4 linked regions of the Schizosaccharomyces pombe genome follow. The gene in region 4 interacts genetically with the main gene of each other region. Each region holds a gene or a part of one and is shown on either strand. Other genes may lie near its edges.

The links.
Region 1: mutations in swd3 (region 4) and tma22 together harm fitness more than expected from each alone (negative genetic interaction), as found in Schizosaccharomyces pombe (2 studies listed by BioGRID).
Region 2: mutations in swd3 (region 4) and par1 together harm fitness more than expected from each alone (negative genetic interaction), as found in Schizosaccharomyces pombe (2 studies listed by BioGRID).
Region 3: mutations in swd3 (region 4) and ufd2 together harm fitness more than expected from each alone (negative genetic interaction), as found in Schizosaccharomyces pombe (2 studies listed by BioGRID).

The regions. Positions count from the first base shown.
Region 1 is NC_003423.3:4,333,928-4,337,049, reverse strand, and holds tma22 (mitochondrial translation initiation factor), read right to left. Parts: upstream 1,458-3,122; 5' UTR 1,432-1,457; coding exon 1,363-1,431; intron 1,310-1,362; coding exon 806-1,309; 3' UTR 570-805; downstream 1-569. Other genes in the region: vacuolar protein sorting receptor vps10, read right to left, coding at 1-38; protein Dbl6, read right to left, coding at 1,848-2,900.
Region 2 is NC_003421.2:1,473,948-1,478,628, reverse strand, and holds par1 (serine/threonine protein phosphatase PP2A regulatory subunit B-56 Par1), read right to left. Parts: upstream 3,057-4,681; 5' UTR 2,853-3,056; coding exon 2,829-2,852; intron 2,786-2,828; coding exon 2,690-2,785; intron 2,650-2,689; coding exon 2,436-2,649; intron 2,105-2,435; coding exon 1,350-2,104; intron 1,298-1,349; coding exon 999-1,297; intron 910-998; coding exon 651-909; 3' UTR 526-650; downstream 1-525. Other genes in the region: condensin complex non-SMC subunit Cnd3, read right to left, coding at 1-325. UniProt on the Schizosaccharomyces pombe protein: The B regulatory subunit might modulate substrate selectivity and catalytic activity, and might also direct the localization of the catalytic enzyme to a particular subcellular compartment. Has a role in cell shape control and septum formation.
Region 3 is NC_003424.3:2,126,443-2,132,248, forward strand, and holds ufd2 (ubiquitin-protein ligase E4), read left to right. Parts: upstream 1-1,998; 5' UTR 1,999-2,020; coding exon 2,021-2,038; exon of another isoform or gene 2,039-2,046; intron 2,047-2,080; coding exon 2,081-2,824; intron 2,825-2,870; coding exon 2,871-5,067; intron 5,068-5,107; coding exon 5,108-5,181; 3' UTR 5,182-5,271; downstream 5,272-5,806. Other genes in the region: gih35 (ATP-dependent RNA helicase), read left to right, coding at 1-254, 291-1,062, 1,109-1,210, 1,259-1,427, 1,470-1,790, 1,829-1,917; Rho family GTPase Rho5, read right to left, coding at 5,453-5,806. UniProt on the Schizosaccharomyces pombe protein: E4 ubiquitin chain-elongation enzyme specifically involved in polyubiquitin chain assembly.
Region 4 is NC_003423.3:546,507-550,729, reverse strand, and holds swd3 (Set1C complex WD repeat protein Swd3), read right to left. Parts: upstream 2,367-4,223; 5' UTR 2,061-2,366; coding exon 918-2,060; 3' UTR 501-917; downstream 1-500. Other genes in the region: SPOM_SPBC354.04 (uncharacterized protein), read right to left, coding at 1-434; translocon alpha subunit Sec61, read left to right, coding at 3,764-3,773, 3,818-3,885, 3,939-4,051, 4,108-4,140. UniProt on the Schizosaccharomyces pombe protein: The Set1 complex specifically methylates 'Lys-4' of histone H3.

The sequences.
Region 1 (3,122 bases), 3.8 Mb from region 4:
CGACCCCGAAGAGGAAGGATCTTTGTCAAAAAAAACATAATTCCTCAACTTCGTTGCTTTTGGCAATGTTCGAATGGTGAAATCGTCAACTTCCCCATCAGCATTGCTTAATGCGCCTCAACGCAAATGACTCAAAAACTTCAATAACGAAATACGCATTCGGATCTCTTAAGTGTTTGTATCGATATTAAAATCCTGTCCCCTGAAAGTTAAGTACACTGAAGAACTAGCTACTGAGTAATGTTATTATCACGGTTCTTCTTAGTTAATAATGAAGCTACAACTATTTGCATAGTAAATCAATTTTATCAAATTTAAAAAGGTGACAATGATCACAGCATTCTTTGTAGAATCGATTACTTTGTCAAAATATAATTTATTCCTACATTCAAGACAACATTTTCTTAATGAACTACTAAGCTGCCTTATTTTGTATGCTGATAACGTCCAAAAAGGCGTAAAGAAACACAATTTCAATTTTTAACTGCTAAGAAATTCATGGCATACACAACGAATGCTAATACTACTCTATAGCCTTGGCAATGAAATGTAAGTAAACAAATGGTGACTTCAAATCATCATACTAATACAACAGGCAATAAATTGTAAAATATTGATAATTAGGCATTTTTTATATAGAAACATTAAAAAACATGAGTCTCAATAAATTATTAAAAACCGGTATCCTAACTGTGCAACCATTTAACAGAAAATTAGGTTGTACAAGATTGTACAAGACAGTTTATGATAAAATAGCCCCAAAAATAGCATACTTAGTAGTATTTTTAAAAAATAAAAATTAAGATTACTGCTTCTTCTTAGATTTCGTATCTTCGACAATTTTAATATTGTCTTCCGGAACCTCTTTAAACTTTTCCAAAATAAAATCAAATATATCATAATTCAAATCACCCTGTACAACAATTTCATCCTTCTTATCAGCTGTTTTAGTGACACTGGCTCCGGTCGCGAACTTGTTGGCCAACATCTTAGCAGCTTTTTTCGTTTCGATCCCAAATGCGTCAAGACCTTGAACTGTGGTGACTCTCTTTCTTTTAGTTCTTTCAATGGTTTTTATCAAAACCTTGGATGCCATACGTTTGGCTTCTTCACGCTCAACGCGCTTTTCCTCCTTCGTCAATTTTGCCGGTTGTTCTTCTGCATTAGAATCTTTAGTTCCGCTAACATTCAGAGTGTTTTCAAGGTCTTTGCTTAAGTCTTGCTCACCGTACAATTTATCATAAACGTCCGGGTGAGATGATTTAAGCCATTCTTTACATTTTTTTAAAGTGCCCTCAAATTCGCAGTACTACAACGCATTCATAGTTAATATAATTATAAAACAAGTTGTTTATTACGTACTTCCACGGGCAATGTACAAACATCGCAGTATAATACTGATTTTAACTTCGGGATGGTTTGTGAAGCCATTATTTGAGTTTCTTGCAGTATAGGTTAAAGTAGAGACTACCTGGGGGAACGAAAATAGAAAGCGAGATTCAAAGAGGCGAAGCCTAAATATACTATGAGAGTAAAATATGCTTAAAAGCTGTAAGTTATTCGTTAAATAAAAAGTAATTCACATCTCAAGTCGTTTTAAATTTTAGAATATAATGTTATGCTGCTGAAACCGTAAACGGATTTTTAGGACTTTTGTTTACATATCAAAACAATGATATGATAACAAGCTGTTCTTTATAAAGAGTAATAAAAATAACGGCGCTGTAACATTGTAAACTAGATTCAACATGATAAAAAGCTACTACAAAATAAGTTGCGTAAAAAGATAGGAAATTAATTATTCAATTATTGTACAAATAAATACACACTTCGCAGCGTGAGCTAGTTCATAACTTTAAATTCATCAAGACTTCGTGAGTATCCTTAATCTTCAAGGGGCTGACCATAACAGAATGAATAGGAGAGCATTTCTTATCCAAATCATAATAAATGGAAGGAGATACAGCTCTTCTCTTCGATAAGTCGATTATTTCTTCGCCCCATCGAGTTCGCTTTTTCGAGGATGGGGTACGGGATCTGGAGTGATTGCTATTCGGAGTTGACATTTCTGTATCCTTAAAAAATACAGAACTGGAAAGCAGAGGAGATATGGGCATCTCATTCGAAGGCTTAGTAGATGGATTGTCCGTATTACTACTGTCCTCTGCAGATGACTCAATTACATCAGAGTTCTCAACAGCTTTCAAAGATCCTGATGGTGCGAGAACATTACCATTTGCACCTGTTATAGAACTGTAAAACGGTACACCCGGACCTACCATTGCAGGCGAAGCAGCTCTAGAAACAAAGGATGATGATTTTTTAGGCTCGAAAAACATCTTGGAAAATTCCGATTCACTACGGATTTCCAACTCCAGAGGAGATGATTCTTCATACAAGGCACTGGCTACGCGTTGGAACATTTTCGGTTTGGGAAGCAAAGACTTTCTTCGTAACACAGGACACAAAGATTTCGAAATTCTTCCAGAATGAGAGGGACTACAAAGGTCCTTTAAATTTTTTACTTCAATATGTTTATTTGGAGTCTTAGAAAACGAACGCTGATCCAAATTTTCATTGTAACTCAACTGCCTAGTTCCTCTAGCCATGGCAGCGGACGGCAAGTCTGTTGTAGAGTCTGATATGTACTCGGTATCATCATCTTCCATATCGGTCAGTTCTGAATCAAGTGGAAACATAGATTCATCAGTTTCGTCGCTCATTGAGTAATTTACATATCTTAATCCGATTGACGGTGAAGCTTCAGGAGAAGGGGCTGTAAAAGTTTGATGCAAGCTTGAGCACCTAATACTTTTCTCTCTGTTTCTTACAAAAAAGTTCAGACTTGAATTTGATGTTGCTGTGGTCGGTTTTCCAGGTGTTGGATGAAATGAATCCATTTCGACAGTATATCCCTACAAAATACCACAAAGACTTAAAAATAATATAAAGGCCCTATATTAAATAATCATTCTATATTTTATTGCATATGCTTTACAATTGAAAAAAATTCGTATTGACGAGGTGACGATAGGCTTCAGTTAAGATCTCGGGAGCAGTACAAAACATAAGCTTAAACATAGTTAATTCCAAAAGAGGATTCAAATCACCATTCTCATAGT
Region 2 (4,681 bases), on a different chromosome or scaffold from region 4:
TAACCACTCTGGCAATAATTTGGCAGCAACGATATCTTACAGTTTTATCTTTGGCATCTAACCCACGAAGTATATGTTTTAAGATAGGTTGAACAATGTCTATCTCAGGATCCTTCTGCTGAAGGTAATTAACAAAGGTTACTAGGAACCTCAAAACGCGGTCAGCATTTGAGTTTCCTTTTTTAACAGTTAATATAATATTTAGCGCCCTTAGGATGTCGGTTTCAAATCCTTCCTGCGTCCGTAGGGTAAACAATTTGTTGCATAGCTTTCTATGACCAGCAATTGAAGTTTGACTAGATGAAATAATTTGAATGCAAGACATATTCAATAACAATTATATTATGCCAATTTTAGTGCTTTTGCTGAAGTTGAGGAGCACCTCACTGGCATACCTACAGTTGGCTCTCAGTGGTAGGTTAAGCTGGGGTATGCAAACAAAAAAATGAACCCTTCTAGCTTAGGCCCACTTGAGATTGCAACATTCAATTTGAAAAGAAGATTGCTACCAAGTTACCGATTTATATTTTATTACAATCAATTAAAAGAAAAGGAAATACTAACTGAAAATGATATAGTATGTAAAATGTAAAAGAGGGAATATTAGAGACTAAGTACAATATATGGATCATTATTAAAATATGCAAGTCCTAACCATTGGTGTAGTCAAGTGAAAGTTTTTTTAGTCTCTCAGTAGTAGAGTGCACAGTAGTAGGGTTTTGAGATTTAAGTTTCATAGCATTCTCTTTAGCGATGTTTTCTAGTATAGTCCATCTTTCTTCTCGTATAATTTCTTCATCTTCTTTTTTCCGACGACTCTCAGAATACTCAGCATCAACTTCATCGAATAAAGAAGGATTAATGTCCATGAACAATTTTAAGACGTTACAAACCATAGAATGTATAACTCTAACAAAACGTCAGCAAGAACTAATAAACCACTTTCTTTATCTTAAATAAAGAAAATAAAAAGGGATTTTAAATGAGTAACTACTTACCTATTCCAGTGACTTTTTGAAATTTCAAAGAGTGCGGGATATATAATTGGTAGTATAATGTCAACGTTTTCTTCAACCAAATGCACGAAATAGTCGTTGTTAAAAAAATATAAAGCTCTTTCAGCAACTTGGAAATTTTGGCTAGATATGGATGTTGCCAACTTGTGGAAGAGCGGCACCTGGATCTTTAAAAACTCTGAAGGTTCCATCACTTCAATAATATCTTCAATTTCATTTAAAAATAAGACTTCTTTTGAGCTATTTACTTTCGGCCAGTATCGAAGTAAGCCCAAGACAACCTATATTGTCATCGTTAGATAAAACGTAAGAAACACTAGGAAATATACATACCTCTTCTGTAACAGATGAATCCTTTTCAACAAATTGAACAATTCCATAAGCAATTTGAGGGTAATAAAGGGGAAGGGATTTGGCTTTATGTAAAGGAATAAGAACACGTGACAAGAATATTTTGTGTTCCTCTTTTAGTGGTAGGGCAAATCCATTAATGATACTCCCGAGGATTTCCAACAGTTCGGCAATACCATTAAATTGCTCGTTCTCATAGACAAACTGCAAAAATAAATTATTAATTGAGCGCCTTATGAACGCACGAAGAGAAAGAAACTTTCCGTATATTCTATGAAGTGTAGTCTTTAGAAAATCACGTTCCCTAGGATCTTCGCTGTCGAACAATACAAGTAATTTCCTAATAAATTTTTGATTAATATACACCTTGGCTACGGATGTATTCAAAGACGGAGATTCAAAAAATCTTAAGAAAAAATCGTAAACAAGGTGAAGATGGGGCCAAGCAACTTCCAAAGCCGGCTCATCTTCTTCAAGATCCATGATTTCACCGGGAGGATTAGAAGGAGGAGGTAAAGGACGAAACACATTTACTGCAAACATATGAACAATGGATGGATACAATGACTCATCAATTGCTTCCTTTCGAACAGATATTAAATCAATGAGATCTTGAAGAGCCTCTCGCTTCACTTCTTTTCCGTAAAGATCGGTGGAGGGATCGTTGAAATCGAAAACAACGCAACATTGTTCTAATTTTTCCAACGCCAGAGAGTGCCATTTATTAACAGGAACATCTAAATAGACAGGTTAGTAAATTAAATTGGTTGACAACAAAGTATATTGATAACACCTCAGTGTTTGTCAACACCAAGTACATTAAATCAGAAAGAAAATCCTATTCAATGTTTGTGGTTTAAATCATCTCTTAGTAAAATAAAATGAAATGTGAGAAAAAATGGAAGGATTCCTTTTTCGATATCAGACACATCAAGCTGAACAGTAAATCCACAAGCGACACCAGCATGTGCCGCATTGAACACCATCCAATTTCATGACATTCTAATAAGAAACAAAATCTTTTATAACTACTTAAAACAATCAATGAAGTGTATCCATAAAACATACCAGTAAAGGATGGAAGACGGACCAGGTTTCGATTTTCAGATATATGGTAAAGGGATGAACGTTGTTTACGAACAGTCCTGACATTCTCTAATAAGATCTCATCTCTAGGAGTTGGTGTGGTATCAATAGGTACTTTCTTTCCTGAATGTTTTGGAACAGTAAGAAAGTCGTTTTGGGCACCAATCACAGAACCATTGGGATCCGTCGAGGGAGACTATGAAAATGTTAAAAGTAAGTAAAAACCTTTTCCGTACCTCTTTCGGAGCCTTGCTAGAGTCATGGGAATTCGATTTTTTGCTTTCCTTCTTCTTGCTAGACTTCTGGGTATCTTGAGATTTCCCTCGAGAAAGCTAGATTCTGGTTAATCAAATAAACACTAGATATGGATCTTACCATTTTGCTTTTAATCCCTTTCATCTTGAGGGCTATTTGGAGCGCTCCAACCCTTTCTTCTTTGAAGCTTTCAAAACAAGCCTACAAATTTGGAGACAAAGGGAGTTCAATTTGAAGCTGTTTAGCAGCTCTTATATAACCGTAAAGGCGCTTCTAAATAGCAAAATTTTCGAAGAAAATTCAGCCGCTTTCTGAGAATTTAACACTTTTACTGCTTTTTTGGAATGTACCGACAGGTGGAGATCCGGTCGAGGAAATACCGTGTAGCAAACACACATAACGAAACATAACACCACTTGAAAATTTTGTTTAATGTACCGGTACGTGAAGCTACGAAAGTACAAAAGGTCGTAATTTTATTTAACGATTCTTTAATGTACATCGGAAAGTGGGTTTGACAATAAACAAAGAAAATAAATGATACTTACCCAAATTTCTGAAAAAAAGCGTAATTGTATATGTTGCTTATAAGCTTTCTAACATCAATCTCATTTCATAATCTCCCAATAAGTTAAAAAATTTACAGCAACGTGCTAACAGTATGGATCTATCGGTCGTTACATTTTAGGGTTCGCAGTTGATTTCTACTTTATACAAGAACGAAAATTTAAATGAAGCCTTTATTTTACAAAACCTTTGAGTCAGTGATCGGTGCATCTCATTTCTCAAAAATGTAAAAACTAACTCCCAAGGCGAGACTCGAACTCGCAACCTTCTGATGACCATCATAAGAGTCAGACGCTCTAAACCGATTGAGCCACTCGGGACTTGCTTGTTCATTACGAGATTAAGTACATAATATATATTTTACAAAATGTAGTGTCTTTTAATTGTTAATAGTCAGAATGTCTTTTTACTAAACATTCGTTGACATTTTATTGTGAAGCTTAATGTTGATTAAAATGTCTGTACGCCAAATTATTTTTGAGGCTTCATAGCTTAGGCTAGTGGGTGGGTTGCGAAAACGAATGCATTGACTGGTTTGAAATTGGTATTTATTCTTTATTTAGACACAGCACTAATGATACTGGATTGAAAAAAATTCCTTGAAAAGAGTTACGAATAAAAATACTAAAGTATGGTAAATATATAAGTGTTTCCTTCCCTACCCCAATGAAACGAGACATTCGAGTGAACTACTCCTATTCTCGTACTAGGAATAGCATCGCAGGGAATAGATGCTGTTGAGTTCACTAGACTTGAGAATGCATATAAAAATCAATTTTGTACGAGCGAGTAAATCGTCAATTTTTGTTAACGTAGCATTCCTATCAATCTGAACAATTTTTTTTTTTTAGTTTTCAAATTATTTCAATGATCATTCATATCAAGATTGTCATTTCTCAAGTTATTTTTCTATGAACTACTCACTAGTTAACCTACTTGAATAACAGAATAAATACTATTATTTAACACAACAAATGTCTACGGCCATACCTAGGTGAAAACACCAGTTCCCGTCCGATCACTGCAGTTAAGCGTCTGAGGGCCTCGTTAGTACTATGGTTGGAGACAACATGGGAATCCGGGGTGCTGTAGGCTTCCTTTTATTCTTTTTGCTTTTTGTTGTATTTGTTTCTAAAGAGGTATAGTCCAGTTATTATTTCTATTCATAGTCTAACTTCCAATGTATGAGGAAAAACATACATAACAATTAACTAGCTTGTTCAAGCTTCCATCATTACGATGGATTGGTGAATTACAGACAGCGTGAAAATGGAAAATGGAGTGCTTCCATTTTCCATTGTCTTTTAACTTAAAAAAATTTTTGAGTTTTCGTCTTCTTTTGACAATAATGCTGTATTTTGAATACATTTTTTCATTTCTGTTATTACCAAGTGAAGAAAAGCATA
Region 3 (5,806 bases), on a different chromosome or scaffold from region 4:
AGAAGACTCGTAGCAAAGAGCGTCTCTGAACGAGTATCTTTGGAACTGAACTCTCCTCCTGGAAGTTTGTGTGGATATAGCATTCAATTTGATCATAACGTTTCTGAAAAAACAAAAATAAAATATATGACCGATGGAATCCTTTTGAATGAAATATTTTTTGATCCTTTGCTGGAAAGATATTCAATAGTCATTCTCGACGAAGTCCATGAACGAACTTTGTCGACAGATCTCCTACTAGGAGTTTTGAAAAGGTATTTAAATTTTCTATTCATAGCTGACAAATCAAGGATTTTAGAAAAGAGGAATGATTTTAGACTTGTGCTCTCCAGCGCTTCTGTTGACGCGAATAAACTGTCTCAGTTTTTCGGACAAGATAAAGTATGCACTATGTCAATTGAAGGGAAATTATTCCCCGTAGAAACATTATTTTTGCAGAAACCTACAGAAAATTACGTTGATTCTGCAATCGAAACGGTTATAAACATTAATTCAACCTATCCGCCTGGTGATATATTGGTTTTTCTTTCGGGAAGAAAAGAAATAGAATACTGTATAAAAAAGATTGAAGATTCCTTAATTCATGCTTCCGAAGACTGTCAAACTTTAGTTCCTTTACCTTTACATGCTGGTCTTACTGTTGACGAGCAAATGCGAGTTTTTAACATATATGATGGTGACTTCAGAAAAGTTATATTTTCTACGAATATTGCTGAGACTAGTATTACTATTGATGGCATAGTTTATGTCGTTGATTCAGGTTTTAATAAACAACGGATATACAACCCGTATACAAGGACTTCAAAATTGATTAACGTGCCTATATCTAAGTCAAGTGCTATACAGAGAAGTGGAAGAGCTGGAAGGACAATGAGGGGAAAGGTGTTCCGTCTATATACTGAAAAAGCTTACAGCTTGATGAAAGAAGAATTTGAAGCAGACATCTTAAATTGCGATATGTCACCGTTGGTGTTATTTTTGAAAGGTTTAGGGCTAAAAAACATACTTCAGTTTCCCTTTTTTGTCCGTCCTCCCACAGTTCACCTTATGGCGGCTCTAGAGGTTTGTGAATTTTATTATAGCCGGCAAACAACTAATTTTTTTGAAGGACCTCTATCTTTTAGGTGTCTTGGACGAAAGTGGAAATTTGACAGACCCACTTGGCATACAAATTTCCAACTCATTCTTGGATGCAAACATCTCCAAAGCTGTACGTACTCCCATATAGGAAATAAAGTACACGCTAACCCATCATTAGTTACTTACTTCCAACCAATTTGGTTGCACTCATGAAATTCTTTCAATTGCTTCAATACTTACAGCAGGCGAAGTATTTTATAATCCCACAAGTTCATCAAAGAATGATGCCTTCGTTGCCCATTCTTCTTTTTTTGCAAATGAAGGGGACATCATTACCGCATTAAATGGTATGCTTCATTAATAAAGTTTAAAAGTGTATTAACATTTAGTTTTTGAATCTTTTGTCGGTAACAAAAAAGATTTACAATGGTGCAGGAAAAATTATTTGAACTATCAAACTTTGCGCCAAGCCCTTGACATTCGCACTCATTTGGTTCGTTTTTTAAATAAATTTTCTATACCTACTGCTCAAAGATTACCATCCAGTGATTGTTCCAAAATTTTGAAATGCCTACTTGATGGTTTTGTGCGTAACGTCGCACATTTACAGAATGACGGCTCTTACAAAACAATAGGAGGAAAGCAGGTTTGGTTAGACTCTAGTAGTGTACTTCATGAAAAAAAAACACCATGGATCATGTATTCTTCAGGTAAGCCTATTTGTTATAAGACTATTTTAACGTTTTAGCTGTCGAATCAGAAACTCAAATATTCGTGAAGAATATTTCTAAAATAGAAAGTTTTTGGCTGGATAAATACTATAAACGAGAAAAATAATATATGTTAATACAATTTCATGTTACCGGTTTAGCATAGTAAGTTTTGGTAGTTAAAACATATGTTGACCTCACTTCCACCAACTTGCTCAATCCACCCCATTATGAGTGATTTGGAAAAGGTAAGAGAAAAATTTCAGCTAATTGCTAATATTGGCCCATAGATTCGTCTTAAAAGGCTTGCTAAATTGCAGCAGACCAATTCGGAGGCAAATTCTTCTAAAGAACCTAAGGAAAGCAATATTGCACCTGAACCTAAAAAACCTGATTTAAAAAAGAGATTTATTGGTTCAAAGGCTACAACATCAAATTCAGAACAAAAAGAAATATCTCCACCTGTTACATCTGGTGCTCCAAAACATCGCTTGTTTTCTAAGGATGAATGGATGCATTTTATAACATGTCAGGCTCTTAATATTACATTAAGTGAAACTGATTCATCAAAATACTATTTAGAAGGTTTTAAAAAAGATTTAGAAGAAGAGGGATCCCCTTTATTATTTAATGAGAATAATGTTGACTCTGCGTTACTCTCTCGACTGTCAACAACTGGCAACAATACTTTCTCTTATTTGTTACAGTCTTGGAGTTTTCTGTATCAGTATAAAAAGAGACTTCCGAAGGATGAAAACCAGGACTTTAAAATTCACTATTTATCTCTGTTAAAAAGTTTGCTTGTCAGTTATGCCGGTATTGTAGTAATGCTTCCTGACACATTCAATTCGGAGACAATTGATTTGGCCGAGGTTTTAATTGGTGCAGAAGGTATACCTTTGGAATTTCTATCAGAATTTGTTCAGAGGTTTGAACACGAAAACTTAGATGAATTGTTTATTCCTGTGTTGGAATCTTTATCTTTGAAAATTGGTCTTATGAATGTAGATACTGTTCAAATGAATGTGATGCAGGTATGAACATCAATTTTTATCTTTTAGCATAAACTGATATTTTTAGATTATATTACAACTTGTGTCATTAAAACCAATTGCATTACTTTTGCCGAAGTTGCCTTCTTGGAATCCTACGAATAATGCTGGAGAAATTGAGTACAAAACGTTTCTTGGAAGAATATCAAGCTTGTCAGTGTTTACTCAAGATGTCGCTTCTCGATATTTTTCCAATTCTACTGAGAGATCAGCCCAAAATATATCTTCGTCAATAAGTTCTTTAAAATTGACTATGTCTACTTATCAGGATGTCCTTTTTCAAATTTTCAATACCCTCATTCGAACATCTACATCTTTGAGAGAGTCTGTGTTGGATTTCTTTGCCATGGTGGTAAATGCCAATCACAAGCGACAATCCATTCAAGTTAATCATTTTGATATTACATCTGACGCCTGCATGCTAAATTTTTCACATGTGTTAAGCAGACTTTCTGAACCATTTCTTGACATAGGATGTTCGAAAATTGACAGAGTACAAGTTGAATATTTTAGGAGAAACCCTCGCGTTGATATCAAAGAAGAGACTAAATTGAATGCTGATCAAAAGGCTTCGGAATCGTTTTATTCAAAACCAGCCGAGGGTTCCAATAACTTTATTTCAGACATATTTTTTTTAAATCTCGCATTTCATCATTATGGTGTAAATGCTACCTTTAAGGCTTTAGAGCAACTTGTGCAATCAATTCGTGATAGCGAGAAACTGAAAGAAAGATTAGAGACTGAACAGCAAAATATGAGCGGTAGTTTTCAAGCGACACGTCTCACTGCTCAATTAAGTCGGCTTGATCAAAGATTGGATTTAGATAGATCGTTTGTGCACTGTTATGAGATTATGCTTACGCAGACATCTGATACTTCAAGATCATTTTCTTTTCTTAATTTCGTTGCCATTTGGTTATCGAGGTTAGCTGATGGTCAATCTTCGACATATCCAAAAATGCCGCTATCGTTACCGTTTAATGAAAATGCACCGGAAGCTTTCAAATGTTTACCTGAATATTTTATTGAAACCATTACAGATTATATGTTGTCTTTATTTAAAACCTCGTCGAGTACTTTGACGCTGCATTCCTTAGAGCCTTTGTGTGAATTTTGTGTGTCGTTTCTAACTCAAGCTAATTATATCAAAAATCCTTATTTGCGAGCGAAACTTGCCGAGATTTTATACTTTGGAGTGCAAACGCACGTGGGAAGATCAGAATTGTTGTTAGATGTTGTACGTACGTCGAAGGTTGCAACAAGGTGGTTACTTCCAGCACTTATGGCGTTTTATATTGAGATTGAATCTACAGGACAATCTACCCAATTTTATGATAAATTCAACATTCGTTTCTATATATGCGAAGTATTTAGAACTATTTGGAAGCAACCAGCCTATTTTGGTAAGCTGGAGCAGGAGCAAAAAACAAATTTGCCGTTTTTTGTTAAATTTGTAGCTCTCATGCTTAATGATGCTACATATCTTCTTGATGAGGCTCTTTTAAAACTAACCGAGATTCACAACCTTCAGAGCCTTTTGGCAGATGCAATAAGCAATAGCAACTCTAACCAGAATGTTCAAGAATCGCAAAGCAACTTAGCGGCCGCAGAACGTCAAGCTTCTACTTATTGCCAGTTAGGGAATGAAACTATTTTTATGCTCAAATTGTTCACTTCCTCAATTCCTAAAGCCTTTTGTGCCGTTGAAATTGTAGATCGGTTGGCAGCTATGCTAAACTATAACCTTCAAGCTTTATGTGGCCCTAAGTGTAGTAACCTCAAGGTAGAGGACCCAACGAAATATCATTTTAATGCAAAAACCCTTTTGTCGATTATTTTCGATGTTTATCTTAACCTGTGCAATGAACCTGCATTTGTCGAAGCTGTTGCTCACGATGGCCGTTCTTATAGTAAAGAAATATTTGAACGTGCGACTAGCATTATGACTAAGCACAACCTCAAGTCATCTTTTGATATAGAAGCTATTAAAGAATTTGTGAATAGGGTAGAGGCATTCAGATTGCAAGAGGCTACTGAAGAGGAAGACATGGGTGATATTCCTGACTACTTCTTAGATCCTCTTATGTTTACAATAATGAAAGATCCTGTTGTTTTACCGAGATCTGGCATTTCGATTGATAGGTCTACTATTAAAGCACATCTACTAAGTGATGCCACCGACCCATTTAATCGAACTCCATTAACGCTTGATGATGTGACACCGAGTAAGTTTTTTTTTTCCACTGTTAGTTACTAATTCTTTAGATGATACATTACGTGAGGAAATTAACACGTTCCTGAAATCAAAACGCAACAAACATTCGCGAAATAGTGAATGAATATAACTGTGTTTATACTAGTTTTTTAATGAAAGGCTTCGATAAGTTTAAATAAAAGATTAGACAATTAATTACTATGAAATATTTAAACATTCATGGAAACTCATTAGGTAATGATTCGAAGGATAAAAAACTTGGTGTACGGTACCACAAAGGTTAAGCTCGTAAAATAATTCCTTTGCACAAGAGGATAAATGAATATAGTGAATCTAACAATACAGAATGTAATTAATAGAACGCTCTTATACACCATAACAGAGATTGCATTTCATCAGAGTAAGATACAGTGCTTCTTCTTTTTTGTCTTCGGTACACTAGCAGGCTTAAATTTAAGCATGGAAGCACGAGCTGCAGTCTCAAAAACCTCATTGACCCCTTCGTTCAATTTCGCTGAACATTCGAGATACTTATAGGCGCCAATCTTTTGAGCTACTACCTGTCCTTCTTCAAATGTGATAGGCTTCTGTGAGGTTTTGGAGAGCTCTTCGATTGTTTTTGGATCGTTTCGTAAATCCACTTTACACCCAACTAGCAAAATGGGTAAATTGGAGCAGAAGTGAAGAACTTCAGAAATCCATTTTTCTTGAACATTGTCCAAACTCTCTGGAGCATCAACTGAAAAACA
Region 4 (4,223 bases):
TTGAGCTTATCATTAATGAATGTCCATCTTTTCAAGGTATTCTCTACCAATCCGTCAGCACGGGGTAGTAGATTCTTGCCTACGACCTTGGGTGCAAACAAATATGGAATTAACATAGGGTGTGGAAGAGGCGTTAATATCACCAAATAAACAAACATTAAGTTTTTATCATAAGGATAGGGCTGTACGGCGGATAGAAGAATTTGTTGAACATGATCAAAGTCGAAGCTAGTCATCAACTCAATTCTGTTTACCACAGTATCCGTGTCTTCATCTAACATAACACTGTAATTCTTAACATCTAAGGGGATCGCTTTAGCACCTACTGACTCTAACCTTCGGAGCTCCTCTTCAACTTTTTCAGCAATCCAACTTTTTGCTTTCTCGTCAACCTGCAAACTGTCCAAATCCTTATGTGCTGGGTTTTCACTCATTGAAAATCAGGTAATACGTTTTTTTCTCAATTATTTTAAGTTTGACTCGGCCAAATGATTTAATTCGAAAAAAGTTTTACCTTATTAGAATATCAGTAGTGGTAAAGGAATAAATATTAGGAAAAAAAAGTAAAAAATTTATCTCCCTTTAAAATCTGTCGAATTAAACTAGATGATGAAAATTAGTAACAAAATGAATATAACTGGTTTAATAAACGAGAAAAATTAGAAAAACCATCAATTTCAGGATATCAACTTGGCCGACATTCGTTCTTCGAGAAATCTTCTGTAAAGAATAATCGAAGACTGTATAAATTAATTTTATCTTCTATGTATCGATCCACTTAAGTTTTCATAGGCCAACTAGCCTTTGGATTGGAAGTAAGGAGCTTGTTTTCGCACGTAAACCTTTAGCATCATTATCTTCATCGTAATTCCAAGTAGTTTCTTTAAACTTTATACATTATTTGTCAACAATTCAGGTTAAGGTGAAAAGCCATCTTTCTCGTGCTTCGACAATAGAAGAGAAGGAGCCCAAACTCGTACATAAGGATCAGTTCCTGATGTGATTATGAAAGGACCTAAACTGGTTACATTTAAAAGTGATGTTTCTGGATCATCGGAATGCCTAATTGAATCGTCAATAATTATTTTTGTACTCGGATCTGTAATTTGGATTGTTCCATCTTCACTAGGAATTAAAAGATAAGCATCGTGCATGAAAGATTCTGCATCATCAGGGTAGGAAGAGTCATTATTGGGTAAAGCTTCAGTATTTTTAGGAATATTTTTAGAAGAATAGCAATCCCAAGACATAGAATATCTTGTATTCACGTGGCTATCAAATATTCGTACCACACGGTTTCGGCGATAATCCCAAAGACGGATCTGTGAGTTAAGATTACTTACAAGCAGATATTTTCGATTTTCTGTAAACTGGAGATTAGACAAAGGAACATTAATGGGTTCAACTAATGTTTTTAAACACTGGCCACTGAGAACATCCCAAATTCGTGCCATTCCATCATAACTAGCAGTCGCACATAAAGTTCCGTCAGCTGATATAGAAACAGATATAATAGGTTCTGAATGTGCAGGTAGCATCCTAAGGCAAGTTCCATCTTGAAGATTCCATATACGGACAGTCTCATCCCATGATCCTGACACCAAAAGCGTGCCCAATGGATTAAAGTCAATTGATGAAACGTAATTTGTATGACCTTTTAAACATCTCACACTGCACCGTTTTTCAAAATCCCAAATCCTTATGGTCTTATCGTCAGAAGCGCTAGCTAGATACTTACTACCAGTTGCCCATTTTACTTGAGATATTCCTCGGTAGTGGCCGAAAAGTGTACATTCAAGTCGAAACGTAAGTGCGCTCCAAATCTTTATAGTTCCATCGGATGAAGAGGTAGCGATCCATCGTTTGTTAGGGGAAACGCTGACACATGTAACACTTTTCTCATGACCGAAAAGAGTACAATATTCAGAGAATCCTGAATGTGATTCATAATTGCGAATGCGCTTATGTATTTGCTCCTCATCTTCCTCTACAACACCTTTCTGGTCTTTTTGTACTTGCAGGTCGTGGTTCAAAGGAAATTGTTGAGCTGTGGAATCCATCTTCTAATATACGATATGTGAAAAATTATCAGACCGATTGTTTGTACTTCTCGTAAAAATGGACTAAAGACAAAAATCGTATCAGGAAGTATTAAAAGGTTTATTGAATGATCTCAACAATCATAAACAAACGCCTTTGTCTGATAGTAAAATCGATCAATTTATTTCCTCTTTCTAGAGTCTATGTACAAGAAAAAAAGTTCATGGGCTTTTTGCATATGTAGATTATAAAATTACAATGATGCCAGTCAATTTTTTAAGCATCCAGCTTTATTGTATGCACAAGCAGTAACTGGTGTGGACAACGAAGTGTATAACATTCAACTAGCAACATACCACAATAATGACTATTTAAAAAACGCTTTTCTTTGGACTTATATTAAATAACTCAATAATTTGACTCGTCTTCAATAAAGTTTACAGGTTCATTTTCCTCGCAATTCACGTCGAAAACTACTCTGCAAAGGATATTCAGGAATATTGTCATTTTTAAGCCATTTAGTTCAAAGACTTAATAAATGGAAGTTTACTACAAATTGTACAATAATTCACGCATTGAAGTTATGAAAAAGCTTAGGGAATGAAGAAGAACGACTAGGCTCCTTTTACTGAAACGTAAAGTTTACAAGGAATTAATACAAAAACTTTTTTCTGATATTGCTCACTAATTTGACGAGGGTTCAATACTCTTGCGCTAAGGGTACGATCTTCGTACTGAGACATATCCTTTGAAGTTTTGTAATCTTCTAGTCTGTGAGTAGGCTAGTCCAATTTCTCTCCGGCCTTGCATTCATGAAGCTCCTGCTTGTTTGAAAGATACTAAAAAGAGGTTTCCTTATAATGAACCAAAATACGTTCTTTGCATAATGTCCTCATTCAATTAATATTGACTTTGATAGCTCCTTCGATATCAAGTTTTCCATTGCTTAAAGTTCTCAATAAGTAGTGTCTGTGATTCATCTCTCAACTGACTTCGAATGAGTCAACTCATAACTTTCAGAGTGATGCAAATAATTTAAGTTAAAAATGTTTCACTCTCGTTTGTCCCAAAGTTTTTTTATCCAGATAGCTGTTGTTCCACAGAAACATCTAAATCACGTGGATAGTAATTGCAAGAAAGAGGCTAACACTTATGAACAACTAGAATTACTTGTTGAGGTCATGAATTGGTAATCAATTTATTTGATCCAATCTCCCAATTACAAATTGGTAAAACAATATTGTGTTTTCATTTTTTGGTGAAACAGTTGGCATCTTAGATCGGTACACATATTAAGCCTTTCATCATAGCCTTTAGTTCCCTTCTTATTCCATATTAAATTAATGATCTTGATTTATTAGTCAACCTTGTTGCCTGGGTCGTAATGGAAATCGCATCTCCTTTTAATCCCTATGTGAAGTAAAATCATTTCAGCAGTTATTATTTTGAATTTTAATCGGCTTAAAAAACTTCTCTAACGCTTGTTAAATGGGCAATTCAGGCATTCATTACAGCTTCAACAAATGTTTATACTGGTATTATAGCGTATTTATTAACTATATAATGAAACGAAATATTTACTTGTTATCGCATTTAAGTGAATAGTTATCTCCATCGTTCTGCTGCCTTAATTTAATTCACCACCAAAACCTCAGTATGATACTTCACTGTCAACAAGAACCAGCAAGTTTAGTTGGGCAGAAATCTAATTAAATTATACAATATGAGTGATTGTAAGACCATGCTTTATTTCTTATTGATTTCTAACACTATACAGTACGATTTCTGGACCTTGTAAAGCCTTTCGCGCCATTCTTACCGGAGATTGCTGCACCCGAACGAAAGGTATGTAGCATATGTATCTCATAAGAGACATCGAAAGCTAATATCGAATCTAGGTCCCTTTCAAGCAAAAAATGTTATGGACTGGAGTCACCTTGTTGATTTTTTTGGTTATGTCTCAAGTACCATTATATGGAATTGTCTCTTCAGACTCTTCGGATCCTTTGCTGTAAGACTATTATTTTTGTTTAAATTTTAATTTTCTAAAGCTAATGACTTTTTCAGCTGGCTACGTATGATTTTAGCTGCCAATCGAGGGTATGTTTTTAAGAAATATGGATGAGTGAAGGTATTGTAACCATCACTGACAAGAGATTACTCTTTAACTTCCTTATTTTTCA